Linked DNA regions of Rattus norvegicus. The protein of the gene in region 4 purifies or fractionates together with the protein of the main gene of each other region. This does not show direct contact. Links are inferred from orthologs where the notes say so. Each region holds a gene or a part of one and is shown on either strand. Other genes may lie near its edges. The genes, in order: Tcof1, Mapk1, Src, Arrb2, Nolc1 and Igf1r.

Evidence for each region.
Region 1: the proteins of Arrb2 (region 4) and Tcof1 purify together in Homo sapiens (affinity purification with western blotting; 4 studies listed by BioGRID and IntAct, with this or other methods). This does not show direct contact. The link is inferred for Rattus norvegicus from reciprocal best matches to the Homo sapiens genes ARRB2 and TCOF1.
Region 2: the proteins of Arrb2 (region 4) and Mapk1 purify together in Homo sapiens (affinity purification with western blotting; 3 studies listed by BioGRID and IntAct, with this or other methods). This does not show direct contact. The link is inferred for Rattus norvegicus from reciprocal best matches to the Homo sapiens genes ARRB2 and MAPK1.
Region 3: the proteins of Arrb2 (region 4) and Src purify together in Homo sapiens (affinity purification with western blotting; 4 studies listed by BioGRID and IntAct, with this or other methods). This does not show direct contact. The link is inferred for Rattus norvegicus from reciprocal best matches to the Homo sapiens genes ARRB2 and SRC.
Region 5: the proteins of Arrb2 (region 4) and Nolc1 purify together in Homo sapiens (affinity purification with mass spectrometry; 5 studies listed by BioGRID and IntAct, counting the BioPlex papers as one, with this or other methods). This does not show direct contact. The link is inferred for Rattus norvegicus from reciprocal best matches to the Homo sapiens genes ARRB2 and NOLC1.
Region 6: the proteins of Arrb2 (region 4) and Igf1r purify together in Homo sapiens (affinity purification with western blotting; 4 studies listed by BioGRID). This does not show direct contact. The link is inferred for Rattus norvegicus from reciprocal best matches to the Homo sapiens genes ARRB2 and IGF1R.

What each region holds. Positions count from the first base shown.
Region 1 is NC_086036.1:56,567,928-56,571,997, forward strand, and holds the start of Tcof1 (treacle protein), read right to left. Parts: upstream 2,801-4,070; 5' UTR 2,675-2,800; coding exon 2,567-2,674; intron 1-2,566.
Region 2 is NC_086029.1:97,482,826-97,486,325, reverse strand, and holds part of Mapk1 (mitogen-activated protein kinase 1), read left to right. Parts: coding exon 1-108; intron 109-2,917; coding exon 2,918-3,032; intron 3,033-3,270; coding exon 3,271-3,402; intron 3,403-3,500. UniProt on the Homo sapiens protein: Serine/threonine kinase which acts as an essential component of the MAP kinase signal transduction pathway. MAPK1/ERK2 and MAPK3/ERK1 are the 2 MAPKs which play an important role in the MAPK/ERK cascade.
Region 3 is NC_086021.1:166,551,188-166,554,687, reverse strand, and holds part of Src (proto-oncogene tyrosine-protein kinase Src), read right to left. Parts: intron 2,294-3,500; coding exon 2,144-2,293; intron 1,098-2,143; coding exon 942-1,097; intron 1-941. UniProt on the Homo sapiens protein: Non-receptor protein tyrosine kinase which is activated following engagement of many different classes of cellular receptors including immune response receptors, integrins and other adhesion receptors, receptor protein tyrosine kinases, G protein-coupled receptors as well as cytokine receptors.
Region 4 is NC_086028.1:55,644,234-55,648,401, forward strand, and holds the start of Arrb2 (beta-arrestin-2), read left to right. Parts: upstream 1-1,368; 5' UTR 1,369-1,446; coding exon 1,447-1,469; intron 1,470-4,168. UniProt on the Homo sapiens protein: Functions in regulating agonist-mediated G-protein coupled receptor (GPCR) signaling by mediating both receptor desensitization and resensitization processes.
Region 5 is NC_086019.1:254,868,954-254,873,158, reverse strand, and holds the start of Nolc1 (nucleolar and coiled-body phosphoprotein 1), read right to left. Parts: upstream 2,801-4,205; 5' UTR 2,749-2,800; coding exon 2,629-2,748; intron 1-2,628. UniProt on the Homo sapiens protein: Nucleolar protein that acts as a regulator of RNA polymerase I by connecting RNA polymerase I with enzymes responsible for ribosomal processing and modification.
Region 6 is NC_086019.1:130,958,703-130,962,796, reverse strand, and holds the start of Igf1r (insulin-like growth factor 1 receptor isoform 1 precursor), read right to left. Parts: upstream 2,801-4,094; 5' UTR 1,846-2,800; coding exon 1,752-1,845; intron 1-1,751. UniProt on the Homo sapiens protein: Receptor tyrosine kinase which mediates actions of insulin-like growth factor 1 (IGF1). Binds IGF1 with high affinity and IGF2 and insulin (INS) with a lower affinity. The activated IGF1R is involved in cell growth and survival control.

The DNA.
Region 1 (4,070 bases), on a different chromosome or scaffold from region 4:
TATATCAGTAAGAAGCACCTTTGAGAAGTAGGCACTGGGGTTGGGGATTTAGCTCAGTGGTAGAGCACTTGCCTAGCAAGTGCAAGGCCCTGGGTTCGGTCCCCAGCTTAAAAAAAGAGAGAGAGAGAGAGAGAGAGAGAGAGAGAGAGAGAGAGGGAGGGGTAGGCATTGAACTAGCATTACCCAGCATCCCTACCTCAGTCCAGGGATGGAAGCCATACGACAGAGCTTTCCTTTCCTAACCTCCCTGGATGGTTTTCCAAGGCCTGGCTAGTCAATCTACTCCAAAACATAAGATAGCCCAAACCCTGAAAACTTCCACATGACACAGTGGAATCCACTGGACGTCTGGAAAGAGACTGAGCCTAAAGGGTGCTAGGGTTGCAGTTAAAACAGAGGGAAACAGGTAGAATCCAGGCCTAAGCTGAGGACGCACTCTATGTGCATAAGACCGAACAGCTCCAATGGACTCCAAAGAGCTATGTGCAAAGGAAGAACGTACTAGCCCCTAAACATGAGTCAGGGAGAGCACCTATTCCATGACTCAGTTCATCTTCTCTCTCTGCAAACTTCAGGATCCTTCTTCACAGAACAATAAATGTGAGAGGGAAATGCAGAGTATCTCCTTTGCTCCAGGAGATGGAGGCAGGCAGATCTCTGAGTTCAAGGCCAGCCTAGTCTATAGAGAGTTCCAGGACAGCCAAGGCTACACAGAGAAAACTTGTCATGTCTGAAGGGCACAGTCCAGTCAGTCAGCTTCATTCTGCCCCTACCCTAGTGTCATAACAAAGTAAGTCGGGCCACTGGCTCCCAATAGGGCTTTGCCATTCTTGCCCCTGAAACTTTCTCTCTCTTGCCAACCACACAGCCTATTCTCATTTCCTTCTAGTCTCTACTCCAAGGTCATGGTCCCCATTAAAGCTTCTCTGACCATCTTAGCTATAACTGGAGGCTGATACTCTGAATCCCACTTGTTAGCCTCATAATGGTCAGCACCTGCCACAACATGCTAGCCACAAACTCTGTGTGTGTGTGTGTGTGTGTGTGTGTATTTGTGTCTTCTCTGTGAGAGCAGGGCACTCTTGCTTGGGCACACAAACCACGTGATAGGCTCTATACCCTGCTTCCAGTTATATAGTTTGAGTAGGGATGGACATGGAGTTCCAGGAAGGTTAAGAAAGCAATAGGTAGCATCTTAAGGGCCCAGCAACCTTTGGGCTTTAAGTTCGTTTTTTTGTTTGTTTGTTTGTTTGTTTGTTTTGTTTTGTTTTTCAAAACAGAGGTTCTCTGTGTAGCCTGGGCAGTCCTGGAACTTATTAGGCTGGCCTTGAACTCACTTGTTTTTCAAAACAGAGGTTCTCTGTGTAGCCTGGGCTGTCCTGGAACTTAATAGGCTGGCCTTGAACTCACAGAAACCAACCCTCCTTGGCCTCCAGAGTGTTGGGATTAAAGGCACAGGTCAAACCAGGGTGCCCCACCCCTCCCACCCCACTCCAGCTTAAGCTCTCTTTGTCTCTCTGTCTCTCTCTGAGACAGGATCTCACCATGCAGCCCTTGGCTGGTCTTAAACTCACTTTGTAGACCAGGCTATCTCTGAATTCAAGAGATCCGCCTGCCTCAATCTCTGGAGTGATGGGATTTTAAAGGCAGATGCCACCACACCTGGGGTCCTCCAGGTCAATATCCAGTTCACCAGTTACCACAGTTCTTCTGGGAAGACAACCCATAGGCCATTCCTGCCTATCGGCTTTGCCTCTATCTTTTTGGGAGACTCCATAGTCAAGCATTTCAAACTTCAGGCTCAGCAAACTTTCTGGAGGCTAGGACACTTGGAAGTCCCACTCCAACCTGGCATCTAAATACCCATCTCCCTCTAGATCTCAGATCAACTACTACATCCTCAGGGAAGCAGTCCTGGATATTCCCCGCCCAGGTTCTTCCACCCACGTTTCCGCACCTCGAATCTCTTGCTCTACAGCTTAATACAAAGTTAACTATACAGTCACTTTTGTGTTTCTTTTGTACTATCTACTAGGCTGTGAGGCGGGCAGAGGGGCCCCATTTCATCATCTGCACCTCAGTGCCAAATAAAAGTTGCCAAATGAATGAACTTTGAAGTTAGTGCACCACGGGTTCGAGTCTTGTCATAACCGAAGACAGCCAAGGGCCTGCACGCCCTGCATGCTAGATCATCAACTAAGGGGACCTTCGTCTCGGTGTTCCCAACAACAGTGGTGACAATCTGCTCCAGCTGGACTTCCAGGTGATGTCCCAGGGAAACTACATAGAGCCACGTGGCAAGATCCTAGGGAAACGTAAACCTGCCGCTACCGGGAACCCGGGCGGGAATTACAAAGCTGCGCTAGTCGGATCAGTTTCCGGCCCGCCCACTGCACCCATGGGGAAACTGAGCCTGGGAGGTGGCTGTAAGTCGCACGGAGTAGAGCAGAGTTTAATGTTCCTCCTGCTCCCTGGCCGACATCTCTGACTCGCGCTGGTTGGGTTTCCCGGGAGGGGCGCGGGCTACTGGCTCCCTTGATCTTGCACTGGGCCGTCTGACGCTTACCTGGCCGCTCTGCTCCTTAACTTCCCGCGCCGCGCGGACGTAGCCTGCTTGCAACAGATGATGGTAAATAAGGGGAAGCAGCTCCCGCCGCTTCCTGGCCTCGGCCATGCCAGAGATCCGGCCAGGCTATTCACGTGCACGCCCCCTCGCCCCCGCTAGCCGCTTCCCTCGCGCCCTAGAACCTCATGTCCCTCACTTCCGGCCTCGCGTCACCGGGCCGCGCGGCGCGCTGGGAAATGTAGTCTTGCCGCTGGAATGGGCTATCCGGTCCAAGAGGGCTGAGCCATGGAGGTTAACCAGCTCTGCCATTGGCTCGAAGGCGTGTCCTGATCTGGATCCGCCCTCTGGGCGGCCATGATTTTAAAAAAAGAAAAAAAGGTCTCCTGCATCTAAATTCTGATTTACACTTTGAAAAGATTTGATGCCTGTGGCGCCTTTATTCATTTTTGAACTTCCTGATTACTGGCCCCTGCTTCCGATTACTTATTTCACAGTGTTTAGGTCCCACGAATAAGGCTTGAGTTGTCACTGGTGTATTGAATCTCTAAACAAACCCTTACCTGAGCTAGGACAGCACCTAGCTAGGCTTGGGGCATATAAAGAGAAACAAAGCAAGCAGTTGACTCAAAAATCACCCAGGTGGGAGACACAGCAGACAACCTAGCAGTTACAGTTCAGATGTCTGGTGCACTTTGTTGAGAGAAGACAGAGCTCAGGGAAGCATGGAGGAAGGGCACCTATCCCCCAAGAGACATTTAAAATTAGCCTCAAAGACAGCAGAGACGTTTAAGCACTGTGGAGAGGCCAGGCTGGAGGTGCTCTATGAGTCAGAATGTGAAAATTACTTTGGTATTTGGTAAGGGAACCCCAAACAACCCTGTACTGCTAGGCTGTACAGTTGGAAAGATGAAAGTCCAAAATATAGAAAAAAAAATCCCGATGTAGGCTACTGTGTTTATTGAGGGGTACAGTGACCAGGAGAGAATGGGAGTGGCCTGGGACTATTTGAGGCACCTGTTCCTCAAGGACTGGTTGGGAATATGCTGACAGCTTTCACTACGAATTTGGGTCAACACACATGTCCACTGAAGTTTAGGACCCACATAAGCACATATGATAATTAAATCCTTAGTGGTGACTGGACTTTAGAATTACCTAAGAGCTACTCCTGTGGGTGTGTCTGAGTAGGGAGTGCCTGCATTCTTCTTTCACTGTTTCCTGGCCTGCTGATGCGTAACCAATATTCCTGCCATCCTATCTTTCCTTCTGTCATGGCCTGTGAACTGTGAGCCATAGTTAATCTTTCTAATGTAAGTTGCTTCTTGTGATATCTGGCCACAGGGACAAGAAAAGTGACATTCACATTCTAGGGAGAAGCACACAGGACCAGGTGACAGGAGCAGGTGGCATGTGCTGTGTGAGGACACGGGAGACTAATCTACATTCAGACATCAGGCAGATTTGTATTGAATGCCTACTACTGGAGACCACACGGTCTGTACGC
Region 2 (3,500 bases), on a different chromosome or scaffold from region 4:
TTTGGCCTTGCCCGTGTTGCAGATCCAGACCATGATCATACAGGGTTCTTGACAGAGTATGTAGCCACGCGTTGGTACAGAGCTCCAGAAATTATGTTGAATTCCAAGGTAAGAAAAAGAAACAATGGCTATAACCTTCCTCTCCAGCCCTCAGCCTGTATATCTGGACAGAGCCAGAGACTGTATGTCTGGACCGAGCTGTTTGAGAACTGGACTTTTTGGGTTAGGGTTCACCATCTTCAGTCACAATAACTGTAGACACCTATGTCCCTTCCCCATACATACTACTAAAATACCCCCCATGGCAACGTCCATACCTGTTCTTTATGTTATTGGGGTTTCTAGTAAGGTGTGTTTCTGTGCAAATGTTCCAGAGCTGTTCTACAAAGGTCAGGTTGTCTGATAACGAAGACTATCTCTCCAGCAAAATTACTGGGTGCAGAGAGAACAGAGCCACTATGGACCATTGAAATTATAGGGTAGTTATGTTTCAAACTGAAACCCTTGCTCCTCCTCTCCGAGTTGTTGTGAAGGGTATATCAGGCCATCCAGACTCTGCTAATAAGGCCTGAGTTGTGCTAATAGGTGGTGGTGCATGTCCTTAATCCTCGCATGCAGGCAGGAGCAGACAGAAGTCTGTGATTCTACTTAGCAAGTTCTAGGACGGCCCAGACTACATAAAGAGGCCTTCTCTCCACAAAAAAAAAAAAAGAAAGAAAAGAAAAGAAACAAAAAGGGGGACAAGCAAGCATAATGTCAGTACTCAGGAAGCAAAGGTAGAATTACCACAAGCCTGAGACCAGCCCAGGCTATTAATACTTTGTCACAAAAAGCAATTGAAGATGATTGAATAGATTTACAACTGCCAGGGGGGAAAATGAAGTATGCATTCTTCGTTAGAATTGTAAGATGGTAGGCAAAATTGAGCACTGTTTACAACATTGAGGTTCAGTTTGGATATGCGTTTGCTTTTTCCTGGTAGTTTTTTTGTTTTTGTTCTTTGTTTTGTTTGTTTTGTTGTAACTGTGTGTCTATATGGGTTTGTGCACATGTTTGGTGCCTAAAGGTACCAGTAGTGTTGGATGCCCTGGAATTGCAGGCATTGTTGTGTGCTGCTCAGTATGGCTGGGAAATAAACTCCTGGGCCCTCTGCAGGAGTCCTCTGCCAAACTGCATAGTCAGTGTCTCAGCACACAGCATGTGACCCGCTCTATCTAATTCATGCTGTTTGTGAGGAATGCAGCACTGGCTCAGGGTTTCACTTTTGTGTGTGCCTTTAATGTTGATAACAAGAAATGAGGTTAAGAGACTGGAGAGATGGCTCAGTGGTTAAGAGCACTGACTGCTCTTCCAGAGGTCCTGAGTTCAAATCCCAGCAACCACATGGTAGCTCACAACCATCTGTAATGAGATCCGATGCCCCCTTCTGGTGTGTCTGAATAGGAACCCAGTGTGCTCATATATAATAAATAAATCTTTAAAAAAATAAAGAAAGAGAAAGAAAGAAACGAGGTTAAGTTCATTATATCCAAAGGCAGAAACTGTATGTGCTATGATGAGTGCAGTTTCTGGATCATTTCCAGAACACTGCAGCTTAGTCCCTAGTTTGAGAGGAACTAGTTTGACTATGAAATTTTGTTTTTCATCAAACTCTTTTAAAGATAGTGGAAAGATAACTATTACTACCTTTTGTCGTTTAGTTTCCCCTATTATTTATTCTCTTGAGTTACAATCCACTCACTCTCCAGGATTTGGACCACTCCCCAGCAAGCAGCCTTGGACAGTTCCCTGCTATTCCTTGGCATCAGCTGCTGCGGACTGCTGTGTACACTCCTGTCCCAGCCCTAGAACAGGCTCTTCTCCCTCTCGAGGCCTCATTCCCTATCTGTTTATTCGCATATGTTATTTTTGCGGTTTTCATTGATCCATTTATTTACCTTTGGTAGATTACAAGAGATTTAGAAACAATTACTTAAAATCCTGTCTTATCATTACTGTAGTCACTGGTTCTTTGGTTTTCCAAAATCAACTCACTCTAAATTTACTGGTTGGCTTTTTTCTCTTGTTGCTTACATTTCCCTTTTCACTTATTACTATACCTAACATTTTCCACAAAATTTAGCTCGTGTTCCCTGTGAAAGCATCTTGAACTATTGTTACATTGAAATAAACTATGTGACTTTGAACAGACTTCCTTTAAAAAGAAAGAACCTAAGGAGTAAATAGAAAAGATGAATGTTGAAACCATCACCTAGGGTGGGGAGAGAAGGGCGTCCAGCCTGGATTTTTTTTTTTTTTTTTTTTTTTTTATTTACAAAATGGATAAAGTTGTTCCAGGAATATAGTGTTATTCATGTAAGTTGATTTCCAACTTTATAAAAATTAGCTGAATGATATATAAATAATGAGCATTAGTACTTTTTCTAGTTCTAGTTTGTAATAATTCTAAATCTCTAACTTTTAAAAATGGACTGAGGTATATTTCAGAAGTTCTAATGTAATAATTTCAAGAGATAAACATAATGTATTTATAATGATTCAGCATCTGTCTTTTTTGGATTTCTGTTGCTATGATAAAATGTCATGACCTAGAGCAAATTGGGGAGAAAAAGTTTATTTCTGCCTACAGTTCCACAATGCAATTCATCATCAGAGCAGAACGGCTTCTCCTGCCTCTGCCTCTGCCTCTGCCTCCTGAGTGCTGGGATTAAAGGTGTACATCACCACCCCCTGATGGCACCTCTGTAGAAAGCCAATCTGTTGTTTTTCATTCTGTGTGTCCCTGTGTTTCCCAATGATTGTCTCGAAGAAGATGCTCAACTCTCATCTGCCTCAAGGCTGTTACATAGAGAGATCTCCTCATGTTGTTGTGGACACTACACTCTGTTACTCTGTCTTTTCTCCCTTTGTGTTGCAGGGTTATACCAAGTCCATTGATATTTGGTCTGTGGGCTGCATCCTGGCAGAGATGCTATCCAACAGGCCTATCTTCCCAGGAAAGCATTACCTTGACCAGCTGAATCACATCCTGGGTAAGCTTGAGCACGGTTTCCATTTACGTTAGTCACACCAGACTCACTATTGGCATGGTTGGTTTGTTCTGTTTACATCTTCTCTACTTTAAAAATATTAAACATCCTTTTGTAGAAACTTGAAGTGCATTAAGTACATTCAGTACATTAAGTACAGAATCTCTTTTGTCCCATAGGTGATGTGTGTAGTAATTTGTCCTTAATCTTGACAATTAACAGCTAATGTTTTGTCTGATAGGTATTCTTGGATCTCCATCACAGGAAGATCTGAATTGTATAATAAATTTAAAAGCTAGAAACTATTTGCTTTCTCTCCCGCACAAAAATAAGGTGCCGTGGAACAGGTTGTTCCCAAACGCTGACTCCAAAGGTAAGACTTGCTTCACGACAGCTTTTCTTAAGCTTAGCTTTAGGTTTGCTTACTGTGTTGGCTAAGTTATTAGGCTCCAGCCCGAAAACTGCGCAAGT
Region 3 (3,500 bases), on a different chromosome or scaffold from region 4:
GAACAGACAGGCCAGCCTGGGAGACCTCCTTGCCACAGGGGCGGGGTCTGAGGGTAGGGCCAGCATTCCTGGAGGTTGCTGGTCTGTGCAGAACTCCAGGAAAAAGTGGCAAGTCCTCAGATCCCCACCACATACCAAGAATCACAGTTAAGGTTGAGAAGGACCAAGACTGTGGCTCACCCAGGCTCTGTACAAACCTTCCTTTTGGTCTGTTTTAAAGCTGGCCTCTCCATCTGCCCTTTCTCCTCACAACCCAGGACGTCCCTTGCCTACCTGGCCCAACCCCTCTAATGCCCTCTGAAAAGAAGACAGTGAAGTGGAAACGGCCACTAAGTCCCAACAGTCCCCTTACTCCTCCTGGGTGGGCAGAAAGCAGCTGACAGCAGGGGAGCCGGGTTTGGCTAGGACAGCTCAGTGACTGTCCCAAGGGCCTCCCAACGGCTGCACAATTAGACGGGAGACCGGACACCTACTTCCCATTACTCCCTCCGCACAGCACTGTCTCTCTCTGTGCTGAACTAACATGCAGATGCCTCCTGAAGCTTAACATCAACCCCGTGTTCACATCAGGAGGCTGAGGCGTGGTGTGAGACCTGGCCACACTCACTCAGGCCCTTGAGGACCATGGTGCCCAGTCCCCAGCAGCTCTTGGTACCCAGATGCCCTAGTCTCCAGCGGCATGGGCTACAAGGAGTCAGGTGCCCACCCTCAGTGCTGACCCTAGTTGAGTCATAGTGTGTATGGGGGTGAGGGTGAGGAGCAAAGTATATTACAGGTGAGTTTGAAAATGTCACAGGGAAAACGTAATAATTTGCATAGTTAATGTAAGGCAATAAAACAAAACAAAACCAGAGCCCAGTTGTTCAGCAGAGACAATTAAAGGCAGGGACTCAGGTCTTTGAGCTGTCTAGCTGGGATGAGGATAGGGCTGTGTTCCTTACCCATCCACACCTCTCCGAAGCAACCCTGGCCCAGCTTGACCTCCAGCCGCAGGGACTCCCGGGGGATCTCCCACGCATCCTTGGCCAGGCCCTGGGTCTGAGGCTTGGATGTGGGACACACGGTAGTGAGACGGTGACACAGGCCATCAGCATGTTCTGGAGACGGAAGTAGGAAATGGGGCTCAGGCAGGATCCCACAGCAAGCTGGCCTCCCTGTCCTGTGTGTATGGCCCTAGGCATCGTGTGCACGTTAGCTCTGGGGACAGGCAGACACCCTCCTGTAGACCTCTATTCCCCAAGGGCCTGTGGCACAAAAGTCACCTGCTCAAATCTCTCATTCGTTCAGTTACCCACCATATTTGGGAGTATAGAGCCAGTGAGGAACAGGTGTGAGAGCCTGCTCTAGGGAGGCCACACCCACACCCCAGTCACCTAGCAAGATCTCAGCACACAGATGCCACGGAGGATAGTTTGGGAGTGGGGAGTCAAGCAGGCTTTAGTAATCCTTTGGGAGCCCTGGAAGGCAGGTTCCTGGCCTTGATTTGGGGGGGTAACTAGGTGGCACCCCATACAGCACATCACCTATGCCAGGGCACAAGGCAAGATCAACTGAGGGGTTGGAAGAGAGGCCGGGAGGTGGGAAGCAGCAGGTGACGTTGGAGGAACCGGCAGGTAAAGGCCCCCGGGGCTTGGAGCCTTGGAACTGTATCACAAGGTTCCTGGAGGATTTGGTCTGGGAATCAAATGGTCCCCAGAGTAGAAGCAGACGGACAGAGGGCAGCTAGTCCTAGAGAGGCTGGAGGCCCAGACCGAGGAGGCAGCCCCCGCACAGAAGGGTGCACACCAAGCCCATCTTTGCACACGGCCCGCGCCCGCGCCCGCGCCCGCACCCGCACGCCGGCTCTGCTGCTCTCTGTCAAAGAAGCCTCCCCCTCCTTCTCTCCCAGGAACCGGTTCAGACCAGTCTTAGGGCTGCAGAAACAATCAGCACCAGCCTCTGGCCCCTCCCCTCTAGCTTGCTCAAGGCAGACCCCCTCCTCACCAGCCAGCTGCGGAGGAAGGAGAGGCTGGGCGGAGAGAGAGGGGAGAAAGGAGAAGATGGAGGAGAGGCAGGGAGGGTAGAGGCATTCCAGGGGTGAGGAGGCACACCCTGTGGCACCCTGCTCCCCTGGGTGAGTCCCCACGCGGCCGGGAACACTCACTGGAGTAGTAAGCCACAAGCTGCTGCAGGCTGTTGAATTGCGTGCGGGAGGTGATGTAGAATCCGCCACTGTCCAGTTTCCGGATCTTGTAGTGTTTCACATTTAGGCCCTTGGCATTGTCAAAGTCGGATACAGAGAGGCAGTAGGCACCTGTGGGTAGACAGGGAGGAGACCCCGAGGCACCCTGCTAGTGTGCTTCTTGCTTGAGGAAGTGAGTTGGTTCCACTCTCTTTCAGCCCCTAATGTGCCTAGAGGAGCGGGCTCCGGGCACAGCCAGGCAAATCACAAAACCCCCAATGGCAGAGACCCCCTCCCCCAAACTCGCAGCCCTGGTAAGACGTCTGAGTCCCAAATGTGCTCACAACTGTGTGACCCTAACTAGCCGTAGCTTGTCCTCTCTGTTTCCTCCCCTGCACAATGACACTATTGTGAAGATTCATAGGATACTCCGCAAGCACTCCATAAATGCTGGCTACTGCGCTCTCTGTATGCCCACTCTGTCCTCATCTGCTTACTGAACACCAGCTGAGCAGACAGGAGTAGCCACTGGGTTGGTTATGTGGACATGGGAGTAATTAGCCCTGGGCAGGAGGTACATTCTGAGTGTGGCCTGCAGGCTGTGCCCCTGCCTGGCCTCTCTGGAGCCTAGAAGAACTGCAGCTGGTAATGTTCTGAACAGAAACCTTTGTTAAATAAAGCTTGGATCGACTCAGATAGAGGTGGGGCACAGGGTCGAGCGACCTGCTGGGTAGTAGGGAGTGCTGAGCGGAAGGACTGCCCACCACCCGCTGAGGAGGTCCCTGGAGCCCCAGTGAACCTCTGCAGGTAAATATGATGATCTTCTGGTAACACTCAACCTGTCTCAAACAATACTGGGAAGTCATGTTTCCTACAGTCTGCCCACTTCATGTGCACACAGAAGGCACAGGCTGGTGGCCATACCTATGCCCTGTGGCCACATATCCCCAAGCCCCAGGAGCCAGGCCACACCACATTTCACTCCAGCAGCACCCTCCAAGCCCAGCAGTGCAGGAGCATGCTCGCGCGCGCGCACACACACACACACACACACAAACACACACACACACACACCCATCATCGTGTACTGTGCACAGCACACAGGGGGCACAGCACGAGCACTTTTCCATCTCCTGCTGAGCCCCAGGCCCACAAGAAGCAGCCTGGCTTGGTTGCCATGGTGATGGGCTGGGAGAAAGGACAGAATCAGAGCGGAGACAGTCTGTGGGGGAAGGGCAAGGCCAGAAAAGGCCCCTGGGAAAAGGAAAAGGGAAACAGAGGGGCACACTGCTTCTGTTCCCATCCTGAGAACACATCTACAACTGTGTCACATCCCTGG
Region 4 (4,168 bases):
TGTCGTCTTCCGCCAAACCCAGTCAATGCTGCCCCAGCAATGAACCTCTAATATGGCCCCTCTGCTCCCCTCCACTCTCTGTTCATCATTTTCCCTCGGCTAGCTTATCTTCTAGCGAGCGGTCTCGCTATGCGACACGTTACCCAAAAAGAGAAGTCCTATCTCGACATTCCTCTGGTGAAAGCAAAACCCAATCAAATCAGCACTGGGCTGGAATTAGTGGTGAGCTAAGCATATGTGAGGCCCTAGCAGAAAATTAAATTAAATTAAATTAAATAAAGACTACAGTTCCTCGGGCTCTTTCTTTCACCTGCTATACACAGTCTTCCACCGTCTCTTCTATTCCTCCGCAGCTCTACCTCCTGCCATCTAACCCACAGACATTTTAGAACAGGGCGTGCTTTTCCTTACTCATCTTTAGGATGTCCTTTCCCCACTTCTGTCCATCCTTCAGAAGGGCTGTCCTCAAATTTCCTATGCTATGGAGTGACTGCACTCCCTCCTCCACGCTGGCCAAGCGCTTTTAGGCTTTTAGTTGCTTGATGGTCTGAGTCATATCTATTATAGCGTTCCTGGGAGCATAATACCTGTTTTATATGTCTCACGGATCCCAGGAAACTTAGGCCATGATGTTGTCCCGATGGCTCTGCACAGTGACTTACACAAAATAGGCAGGGAGGGAAGGATGAAGAATGGAAGAGATAAGTGGAGTAGGTGAATGATGGCTAGGATAGACGGTAAGGGAGATGACAAAGTCTGAATGTTTTAAAGTGACACTGCAAAAAAAAAAAAAAAAAATCAAAGACAATACACCAGGGGGAGCTGAAGACCACGAGAACGCGGGAAAGGTAGGCCAAACAAGGCTGCAAGCTCAGGGATGAGCAGCGCATACCAAAGCAAGCATCATCACGCAACAGATACGGCTCACCCACGTGGGCAGCCCCTTGGTGCTCAGACCCAGACAGTGTTTGAGCTCATTCCCACCGCCCCCTCGATCCCGTCCCTCCTCCGCTACAGTGAAAGCAAACAAAGGGGAGGGATCCCTGCAGGGCTATGGATACCAACGGCCAATCAGCTGCTTCTAAACTTCTCGAAGGCGGCCGCCTCCATTTTAAGGGGCCCAATCTAGTTCCAAAGGCTTGAGGAGGGGCGGGGAGATCGAGAGTAGGGACGGCGCGAGGAGGCTTCCCCGAGGGAGACTGAGGGCGGAGGCGTGGGGCGGAGCCAGCTCGAAGAGGGCGGGCTGCGCCGCGGCGCGCGGGCTCCGGCTGACGCAGCTGGCCCCAGCTCCCCTAGACCCAGACCGCGAGGGGAGGGGAAGGAGGAGAAAGAGTGAGGACGCGCGTGCGCAGTGACTCGGGGAGGAGTGGGGACCTGGCAGCGGGTGAGAAGGCTGCGAGCGAGCCGCGAACCCGGCGGGTGGAGGGCGGCGAGCGCGCGCGCACCATGGGTGAAAAACCCGGGACCAGGTAAGGGAGGTGGGGCCGTGCCGCGGGGCATGGGCGGCTGCTCGCGGAGTGTGCCAGGTTGATCCACAGACAAGGACACCGGGGAAGAAACCCCGGGGCCGGACGCCTGGGTCCCTAGAGGGTAGCTGTCCGGGGCCGCAAGCCTAGGTCCTTGAGGATATTGGAGTGGGGGTGCGTGCTGGGGCTCCTGCAAAAAGCAAGACTTGATAGAGATCGGGAAACCCACGCCTGGGTTCTCACAGAGATGTAGGAGTCGGACTACTGGGTTCTCTGCAGGCTGTGATGCAGGGGCGGAGGAAGGAGGAGCAGGTGGCCGGCCCCGAGGGGTTGTGTGCTGGGAGACTGGATGCTGGGAAGGGATTCCCCTAGACTCGTGCCCAACCAATGGAAAGCCTCCTGCCCAATACCCCACAGTCTGATTGCTCCCACCTGTCCCAAGGGTCGGATAGCTCTGCTACCAAACTTCTGCCTTCTCCTAGGTTGCTAGGAGCAACAGCTTCTTGAGAGAGTAGAGTGCATAGGGACCCTCGCTGAAATTGGGCTTTATTCCTGTCCTGGGGAGAGAGAGAGGTAGTATCTGCCCTGGACACACATCCTCTCCCCGGATGTTTTCTGTGCAATCGAGGCTCCTTCCTTCCACTGATACCAGAGTTCTCTTTTTTGGTCTATAGCAAAATCCACTTCCTGTTGTGACCCAACACCCCCAGGAGGACATGGGGTGAATACTTGAGTTCCAAAGGAGCAAGAACTAAATAATAGGTTGGGGCCATGTGCCTCAAGCCAGAGAGGACCAAGGATAAGGGCCTGATTATGAACAGTGACTTCTGCAAAACATGAGACCAACCCCACCACTCCCACTGCCCTTAAGTATTAAGAAGACCAATATCTGAGAGAGATGCTTACAGGGAAGATTGACCTCCTAGATTTGAGGTTAAACTAAACCCCAGAGAAAGGAGAAGTCACTTACTTGGGGGGGAGGCCCCCAAATTTCCGTTGAGTACTTCAGGGAGGGAATAGATGGACCAAAGAAAGACTGCTGACTTGGCATAATTCCCTACCATCTCATCAAATTCTGGGCCAGAGGAAATGGCGAGAATGGCAGGAAGTACAAAGAGGCATCTGCTTTAGCTGCACCCCTCCAAGCTGGGTACCTCCCTGGTAATTCCCTTGCTCTGCCTTCTTGGCCAAGCACACTGTGCACGCTGCGCCCTCCCTAACCATGGCTGGGTAAGAGCAGGGCAACTGACGGAGATACAATGATTGTGTGGTCGTCACAGGTTCTGCCAGGGCTCCCAGTGGGGGAAAATACAAGACAGGAGGAAACCAGAAGTAGGAGAAAGAGCCAACCTAGGTGATGTCCAAGCTGTCAGCCCTAATTGGGACAGAAATTAGAGTGATTATTCTAACCGCCACCATGTCCAAATGTGCCTTTATTACTTGGGGATACTTAGGGCAGCCTATGTATATGCCATGTGACCCTAAGTGTGTGTGGCCCAGTGATGTATGGGCAGCTTGGCTTTGGGGAAGGAGGAGACAAGTGGTTTTTCCAAGCAGAAACTCACATAGTGTGTTGAAGGGAGGATGGAACTCTGGGCAGTTTTCAGCCTGTTATCTGGGGGCCCTTTCAGGAATTGCTCCGGAGCCAAAAGGCCTTAGAAGGGGTAGAGTTGTTCTTGGAAGAACAAGCCAAGGAATGGCCAGAGCTCTGGGGTCACTAGACAGTTTCCTATCCTCCTAGCCGTGGGTGGAGTCTAGACTTAGGTTGTTCTAGTGTCTGTACAGAAAAATCCCCTTAGACTTGACAAACTGTGACAGGCGAGCTTCACGACTTAGTGGTTGAGAACAGGGTCTTGAAACCAGGGTGCCTTCCTCAGGTTTATATCCGAGTCCCACCCTGTACCTTCTCTGTGACCTTTGACAAAATTCTTGTTTGCCGTAAAGCCGGGGTCTTTTAGCCTCTGTCACTGGGCGATAAGAGCTGTAAACGCAGTTGGTACAGTGCTAGAACACAGCAGTCACCAGTCAATGTTAGCCAGAATCACCATGTTTGTCACAGGATGCTACTGTGTGGGGACCACAGTGGGTTTTTTTGTTTTTGTTTTTTTTTAAGCTGCTGAGGTCAGAAACGGGGCTGTTGGAGGTTCATGAAATAGTCAGACTTGGGGACAGAAACATCTGAGGGGCAAAGACTCTGCTCCAGGAGTCACTGTGTGAGTCCTTGAAGCTAGAGGTCAGTTAAAGAGTTCATCTGAGTGTGGTAGTTCGTGCCCCTTCATCCTAGCACCAAAGAGACAGAGGTAAATGGATCTGAGTTGGGGCCAGCCTGGTCTACAAGTCAAGTTCCAGGCTAGCCAGAGTTACATACTAAGGCCAAGGTCAAAAGGGAGGGAGGAGTGTTAGGTGTGACCCAGACATTGTGTAGCCATCAGTTGACTCTTGGTTTCGGAGAGGGTCCCTCAGGAGAGCCTGAATAGTTGGCTGGGGCAAACAGTGGCCATTTACTATAAGCGGAGGAGTGAGTTAGTAACATCAACAGCAAAGAGGAAAGGCCTGACAGTTGGCTTCAAGAGGCTTCAAATACCGGTGGGAAGCAGTAAAAAAAAGCAGTGGGAAGGGTCGAGCAGGGATCCAGGGTGAATTCCATTTCTCTGGGGGGAGGGATAAATCCCGGCGTGGTGGTCCCTGCCCAGCCTAAGGGA
Region 5 (4,205 bases), on a different chromosome or scaffold from region 4:
ATCAATGTAATTTGTCAGCCTGGCATGGTCCCAGCACTTGGAAGACAGACTGGCAGATCTGTGAGGCCAAGGCCCAAGAGGACTATATACAGAGTTCCAGGACACCAGGGTTATGTAAAGAGACCTTGTCTCAAAAGTTGTTTTACTGGCTGGAGAGATGGCTCAGTGGTTAAGAGGTCCTGAGTTCAAATCCCAGCAACCACATGGTGGCTCACAACCATGTGTAATAAGATCTCATGCTCTGTTCTGGTGTGTCTGAAGACAGCTACAGTGTATTTATATATAATAAATCTTTTTTAAAAAGTTATTTTAAGGGGCTGGGGATTTAGCTCAGTGGTAGAGCGCTTACCTAGGAAGCGCAAGGCCCTGGGTTCGGTCCCCAGCTCCGAAAAAAAGAACCAAAAAAAAAAAAAAAAGTTATTTTAACTACCTACTCAATTTGAAATGGATGTTACATCTTAAGACTTTTCCTACTTGTATAAATTAGGAGAAAAATATTCCACTTACATATCACCTAACACTGAACATGAAAACTTTATAGCATAGCTATTCCTATGCCTTTCCATCCACACTTTTACCAGCGCCCACATCTGTTAACTCCAGATCCACGCAATCCTGACACCTGTGGCTTCATATTTTCTAACTATTAACTTTTTTCCTAAACAATTGACTTTTAAAAGTCAGAAAGGAAAAAAAAAAAAGTCAGAAAGGCGGGGCTGGAGAATTGGCTCAATTCCCAGCACCCACATGGTAGCTCTCTACTGTCTGAACTCCAGAATCTAACACATCACACACATTTACATGCAGGCAAACCACCAACGTGCATGAGAGAATACATAAGCAAACAAAGGTTCCAGGTGTGGTGGCATATGCCTTAAATTCTAGCATGTGGGAAGGAGAGACAAGTAGAGATGAGTTTAAGTCTACACAGTGAGCCCCAGGACAGCCATAACTATATATTGAGACCCCATGTCTTAAGAAGGAAGGGTGGGGGGGTTGGGGATTTAGCTCAGTGGTAGACCACTTGCCTAGCCTGGGTTCGGTCCCCAGCTCCGAAAAAAAGGAAAAAAAGAAGGAAGGGCGGGGAGGAGTAAGGGGCACTGGAAGAAGGTCCATCGGCTAAGACCATTCAGGAACAGGTGGGCATGTATCATCAGATCACATGCCAGGCTGCCCTGGCTCAAAGAACTCTCTTATGTGGTCTGGTGGCCTGTAACCCAAGATTCCCAGGATCTAAGGCAGGAAGATCATAAGGCCAAGGCCAGGTCAAAAATGGCCACAGAAACAGGAGGGGACCAGGCAGTTATGATGGTGCAGCCTTTAATTCCAACGCTGAGGAATCAGAGGCAGGGGCATCTCTGGGAGGCCAGTCTACTCTGCATATGAGTTCCAGGCTAGCCAGGGTTACACGATGAGACATAGAAAATAGAAATAGAAATAAAGCAGAAGAAACCTAAATTGTCAGTTATGCTATCACCCTGAAAAAAAAAAGACCGTAAGTCTACACAGTCTTTCAAGGTGTTTCCATGAACACTACAGCTTTTCTTAAGATGCAGACGAGACATTTCACATTCCTTCACTTAATTTTGCTCTTACATGGATTTGAAGTGACACAATAGCTGTCACTCATCCCATGGTCCCTGTGTGTCTACAATGAGATTACTGGCTTGTGTATTTTTCGCTTGGTGAATCTCATTCACTCAAAAGCTGTAAATAGGGCTGAGCACACCTTTTTATCCCTGCTTTTGGTAGGCAGAGTGAGAGCTGAGTTCAAGGACAATCTGGTCTACAAAGTGAGTTGCAAGACAGCCAAGGCTACACAAAGAGAAACTCTTGTCTTGACAACAAAAACCAAAATGGCATCCTGCTATGTTCAGGCATGCTTAGGATGAGGAGGCTGAGGCAAGAGGGACAGAAGTTTACATCCATCTTCCACTCTACAAGGACTTTTATACACAATATAAAGGGTTGAACTTTGTTTTAAATAAAAGGATGCCCAGGATCATCAATGTAGAAAGTGGTGGATCTGGCCTAAGCCTCCATTTGCTTTATATCACTACCTGAAGCTCCAAGCCCAGTGCCAACTTGACAGGGAAAGATGCTCACGCTTTCTATGGTATACTGAAAGCAGCCTATCCCTGCACTCATTCATTAAGTAACTAAATAAATAATGATATCCTAGTTTTCATTGCTACGCAGTTTATCCCTGCACTCACTCATTTTTTAAAGTGTATAAATAAATAGGATCCTAGCCTTCACTAGTAACAATTTATCTTTGAGTCTCAGGTAAAACTGCAACCAAGTGTAAGTCCAACAAAAAGTACAGCAGAAGCAGGCACCGCCAAACCAATGCTCCGGGAGGGATCTATCGCCACATGTCCTAGGTCACGAGGGACCCATGCCTGCCACCACTGCAAAACTCACCAAAAGCCGTAAGATTCGGAGCTAGTCAGACGTGATGGAAAGAGATGCCGAGACCTTAAGCCTCAGAAAGGTCGGCAGAGAGGCTTCACAGACATTAGACTGACAGACCCCAGACCTCGATTTCTTGACTTCTAAACCTGACAAGGCCTAGACTACCTTGGAGAGTCGTCCCACCCCGGCCCGCAAACCAAACCAAGGACTCACAGCGCCTGTCGCTTTTGCAAATTTACTGGCCACCTCTGAGAGCTGGTTATCTCGCAGAAAGCCGAGCACAAGGGGATAAAGGTCGCTGGGAACCACGCGGCGCAAGCCGGTATCCGCCATACTCCGGGTTAAACGCGTCACTACCGTTGCGCACGCGGTACGACTGAAGAACTCCAGAGCACAGCCAGGGTAGAGGGCGGGCCCAGTGTCGTCATCACGTCGCGCGGCGCGCAGCGGAAGAATGGCCCCCACGAGGCAGGGCTCCCTCCGCCCCGGAGGCAGGACGCATGCGAAATCTATAAGTTCCTTCCGGTCTCACACGCGTCGTCATCCTGTAAAGGGCGGAGCCCACTAGCCTTCCCCCCCAAGGAGGCGGAGCTTTACGTCAGAGGTCACGCTCCCGTCCGAGGCGGGAAAACTTGCAACTTCCCGCGCATTATCTCTGCTGAATGGACTTCTATCTATAGAAACGTAGTTTCCAAGCCCCGGCTGCTATTCAGACCCCACGATAATCAAAGGAATGGAGAACTCGAGTCTCTTTCACCTTTCTAGAGGTGTCGTCTACTGCTCAAGCTCCCACCAACAATGACTTCTTCACATCCTTCACACCCAGTGAGACTCAAATCATAAGGCAATCCTAAAAGTTGTGGTGACAAAGGTGTTAGTATCCCACATTGACTGTCAGTCACAGCTAGGTTTAAAGACTGTTATCCCAACCATACACAACTCGAAAAGGGGGAGGAGAGCACGGGTTCATTCCAGAGAAAAGATCAAGGGACTCAATAACCCTTTCTTCCTTAAGTCAGAAGTCACACTGAATTCTGAAAACTCCACTATCAGCTATTTTCCAGGTCACATTAGTTATCCCTCACGAAACAATAAAGATGCACTTCCTGTGAACACCTTTTACTTTCCTCAAAACAGTCGCTCCTTCTAAAAAGAAATGTTATCCTATTTCCCAGAGGAGGTGCTTCTATCCATCCATCCATATTAATTTTTTTAAAAAAATCCACGCGCCAGGACGGTGATCAAATTAAATTGGTGAGCTTACCTGAAACACTTAATAGACACAAACCCCAGTTGAGAAAACTTTTATTCTCATAGGCTTGGTGGCAAATGCCTTGAAACCCAGGGTTGAGAGACAAAAGTAGGTAGATCTGAGGAGAGAGGGAGAGGAGGGTGGGGCAAAGGAGGAGGAAGAGGAGTTCTTTTGAGTTTGAAATACTATAATCCCAACACTTTGAAGGCAGAAGCAGTTATCCCTTGAGTGAGATCCAGGATAGTCAGGTTTATACAGAAAAACCCTGGCTTCAGAAGACAAACAACAACAACAACAAAAAAAAAAAAAAAAAAAAAACCAACCCCAAAACTGTATCTTCTCCATCCCACAAGTGTCTGTATTCTAAAATATCTCCATGCACAGGCTGTCACTGTAAGAGAGTAGGCAGGAGAACTGGGGTTTCAGTCCAGTCTGAACAACTCTACAGAACCCAGAAAGGGATTGGTGTAAATGTTAACCCATAAATACCTGAGTGTTCAGATACATGACAAGGCTGTACAAGCAGGGTGCAGTGGCT
Region 6 (4,094 bases), on a different chromosome or scaffold from region 4:
GGGGTCGGCCCTAGTCTGCGCCTTACACTAGGCTTACTACAGCTACAGTTCTTTAAAGACCTGCTCGGACTCCATCGTAGATATTTCTTAAAAGAGGCTCAGGGTTTGTTTATAGAAACAGCCTTTGTGAACTACGGCAGTGGTGGGGCCGCACGGCCCGCGCAGCCTCCATCGTTTCCCCCTTGCTAACTCCTCAAGGCTAGGTCGTGATTTTTTCGAAGTTAATAGGCACCACCTGCATACATTCTGCAAACATTACTCATCCGCACGCCCTCACTTCCCCAGCCCCAACTCAAGAGACTGCATTTAAAGTTTTAATCGCGTTCAAATTACTCTACCATCTCTGAAGTACCAGTATGCCACTGTTTTTCTCGAGAACAAAACCCCCTCCTCCTCCTGCTGCCCCCATACACTGTGGAGAGTTCTCATTCCCAGAGACACCCCACCACCACCACCTACTCCTACCCGACACCACCAAAACAAAAGCTATCAGATTGCAAGCGATAGCGAGCATGGAGCGATACTGCTTATTAAGTATGTACAAAGGAAGTGCGGGGCGGGGGGGGGGGGGGGGGGGGGGGGGGTTGGCAATGCAACACAACTTTGGGCACAACAAAACCAAGGCCAGGGCTCCGCGTTCACAAAACAAAACAACCACCCGTCCACTACCATACTACAGATCCTGTCGCAGCTCAAGCCACCGCACATCTCTTGCCAGTCCAGTTGTCACCTCGTGGTCGTATGGCTGTGGATGCACCTAAATCCGCGCGGAGAGCACGTGTGTGTGGAAATGCACGTCGACTCTGCACATGGGTGGATGTCTCTAACTCCTCTTACTAAGACACTTCTGGGGAAAAGTGTCCAGAGCGAGGTAGAAACTGAGAGCCCAAGGAACCTCTAAGCTGGGTATCATCCAAGCCCCCCCCCCCCCAACACACACACACAGGCGTCTGATGAAAGTTTTAAGCTCACACTTCCTTAGGGGAAGCTGGGGAGCACACCCCGCACCCCAAGGCCACACCGGGAAGCCCAAGTTACCAAGTCTTGGGAGAGGTGGGGACTAGACACCTACAGGTTCCAGAGATGCGAAAGGCCAAGAACCAGAGGGGCCCGATGGGCCCAACAAGTTGGGTGATATAAGGCCGCGCCGTGATGTTTGGAAACGTGTCCTGGGGCCGCGAGGCTTCCCCATCCCGTACCTCCCCCTCAAGGACAACTTGCACCCCGCGGGGCAGAAGGCTCTGGCTGGCCAACACGAAGTACTAGGTCGGTCTACCCTAGGACACACCCGTGGAGCCTCCAAGGGTGCTGTCATGGTGCGCAGCGCTGGATGGGCGCTGGGGTGCCAAGTGGCGCGCCCCGGAGGGGGGAGACGAGGGCAGCGGGGCTCCCGGAGACACCCAGATGCCAACTTCCCCACCAAGTGCCCAGGAGTAGGCTGCCCCTGACCCGCTAGGGAGGAGGCACTGCCCACCCACCAGGCCGCGTGCGGGACAGCGCTCCTGGGACAGCGAAAGAGAAAGCCCCGAGGCCCTTCCCGCGCGCAGATGCGCTGAACTCAGGCTCTTGGAGCTCCTGAACCGTGAACTCGGGCCCCGATCCGCTCTGGCCTTCCGGGAGAGCCCCACCCTCCGCTCCCGAGCCCCGGAGTCCGACAGCTGCGCCCGTGGCAACTGGGTTTTCCCAAACAGGGCGCAGCCCCTCGGAGGAAAAGTTCCCGCAGTGGCCGCGGGCGGCGGGCAAATACTCACTTTCTCCACTCGTCGGCCAGAGCGAGAGCGCGGCGGAGAGAAACACGAGCCCCCACAGCGAGGTCGGGGACCCTCCTCCGGAGCCAGACTTCATTCCTTTTATTTGGGACAAAATTCCCTTTTCTCAAAAAAAAAAAGAAAAGAAAAGAAAAGAAAAGAAAAAAAAAAGAAAAAAGTCTTCAACTCAGTCCTCACTCTCGTCCAAAAACAAGAGCGAAGATCCTCGGAAAGCGGCGTGGACAGGGAGGGTGGCGCGGGGCGGCCCCTCAGCGCCGGCAGCAGCGGCCCACGGGGCGGCGGAGTAGGGAAGCCGGGGCGCGCCGGGGCGGGCTGTCGGTGTCGTCGGCCTCCATTTGCAAACCCAGAGATGCAGAAGAGGGAGGAAAACTGTACAGAAAGAGGAGCAAAGCCCAAATCGCCGCAGGCGGGGACAAACGCCCCCGATTCCCGGAGGGAACGACCACCCGAGCCTACGCGGCGGGAGAGCCCGACGCAGTTGGCGAGACTGGTCCGAAGTCCCGGGCGCGGGCGAGGCCGGCGAGGGGCAGAAATGCTGAGTGGAAATGAATGAGCGGTTCCCCCTCCTCCGGCTCCTCCTCCTCCTCTGGGCTCCGCTCGCCGCCGCCTCCTCCCTCAGCGCCGCCGCCGCGAGCTCCTTCCCAAATCCAAATCCAGGACACACAAAGCGGCGGCCGCGCAGCGCTCAGCGCTCCCGCCGCCCCGCGTCGGCCCCCGCCCGCCGCCGACTCCGTGCGCGGGGGCTCCGGCTCGCTGAAGGTCAAAGCCGAGCACGCCGCGTGCCGTGGAGCTCTTGCAGGCACGGGAGAGGCGTGGAGGGTCCAAGGAGCGGGGCCGAGGGTCTGCGAGCGCCGGGCGCGCCGGGATAGGCTCGCTGGCGGCTTCCCTGTCGCTCGCCTCTCTCGAGTTCGCCCGGTGCGCTCGCTCCTCCTCGGTTCCCCCTCCTCCTTTTTTTCCGCTCAGCGGAGTTAATGCTGGTAAACAAGAACCTCAGCCTCACCGCGCCGCCGCCGCCACACACTGGGGGCTCTACGCGCGCGCTCTCGGGGCCGCGCACACGTGCCCGCGCGCACACTCCAAGCGGCTACAGCCGCAGTCCCGGCGCGCCGAGGGCCGGGCCCCGATTCGGCAGTCGCCAAGAGCCGGAGTTCGGGATCGCAGGGACGTGTGGAGCGGAGCGCGGGCGTGGGGAGCCGGGCCCAGGAGGCACCGCCCCCCGCGCCTCCACCCGCGCCGGCCCCCGCGCGCACACTGAGCCACGCGCGCGCCCACGCTTCCGCCCCCACCCGCACTGCGCCGGCCGGCCCTGTCCGCACCCTCCCCACCCGCAGGACTCTAAAAAACAATGCCCCGGGCGCCGGCGGGACTCGGTGGCCAAGGGGGCGGCGGCAGGGCGGGCGGGCTGCGGGCGCGGTGGGCGGGGAGTGCGGCCCCGGAGCTTCATTGAAAACAACAACAGCGCGGCTGGTGAGCGCGCTGGCCCGCTCTGTGAAAAAGCTTCATTGTTTCTTGCAGCTGTTGCAAAATAAATAAATAAGTGCATGCATGCGGCATTTTTTCGCAGCGTGGTGGAAAGCCCGGACGCGGCGGGAGGGGCACACCTGGGGGAAAGGGGACCCCTGAAGAGACTGCTGCTACGCAAGGCACTTTCCACCCCAAGCTTGGGCGCCCGTGGCGGTGCTCCTTGGGTATTCCGGTGCTTACGCGCTGACAGAGAGCGGACAGGGTGCGGTCCGCATGCCTCTGTTCTCGAAGCACCGCGATTCCACCGCGGGTCCCGAGCCCTGGAAAGGGGACCCAGACAGGCGGCCCCTCGTGCCCAAGACGCGTCTCCGCGGCGGCCGCCAGAGGGCGCGGCGGCAGCCCGGGAGGGCTGGCCCGGGGAATGTCGCCTCCCTCCCTCCCGGGGAGGAAATGTGGGGGCCCCGAGTCGGGGACCGACTCGGCTGGGTCGTGCTGGCGGGGCCTCCCAGCCCCATTCCTCTCCCGCCCTGAGGGCGCTCCACCGCATCGTGCTGGTCGGTGCTCCACCACGTGGGCAGCTGCGGAGAAGGACCGCAGCGCGTGTCGGGCTGCGGGAACCCGCAGCTGGGGGGCGTGTCCGGGGGGTTCCCAGGATGGGGATTGCGGACGGGGACCCTAACCCGGACAACGTCGTCTGGCTCAGGTCCCAATCTTAAGAATGTGTAGCCGTCACCAAGGATCGGTGGCCACTGCAGAAACCCACCCGCACCTGCCTCTAATATCCCCCCTCCCCTCCGCGTCCCTCTAGCTTCATTTGATCCGTAAGTGACTTGAAACTAGCACCAGCCCAAGTATCCTCGG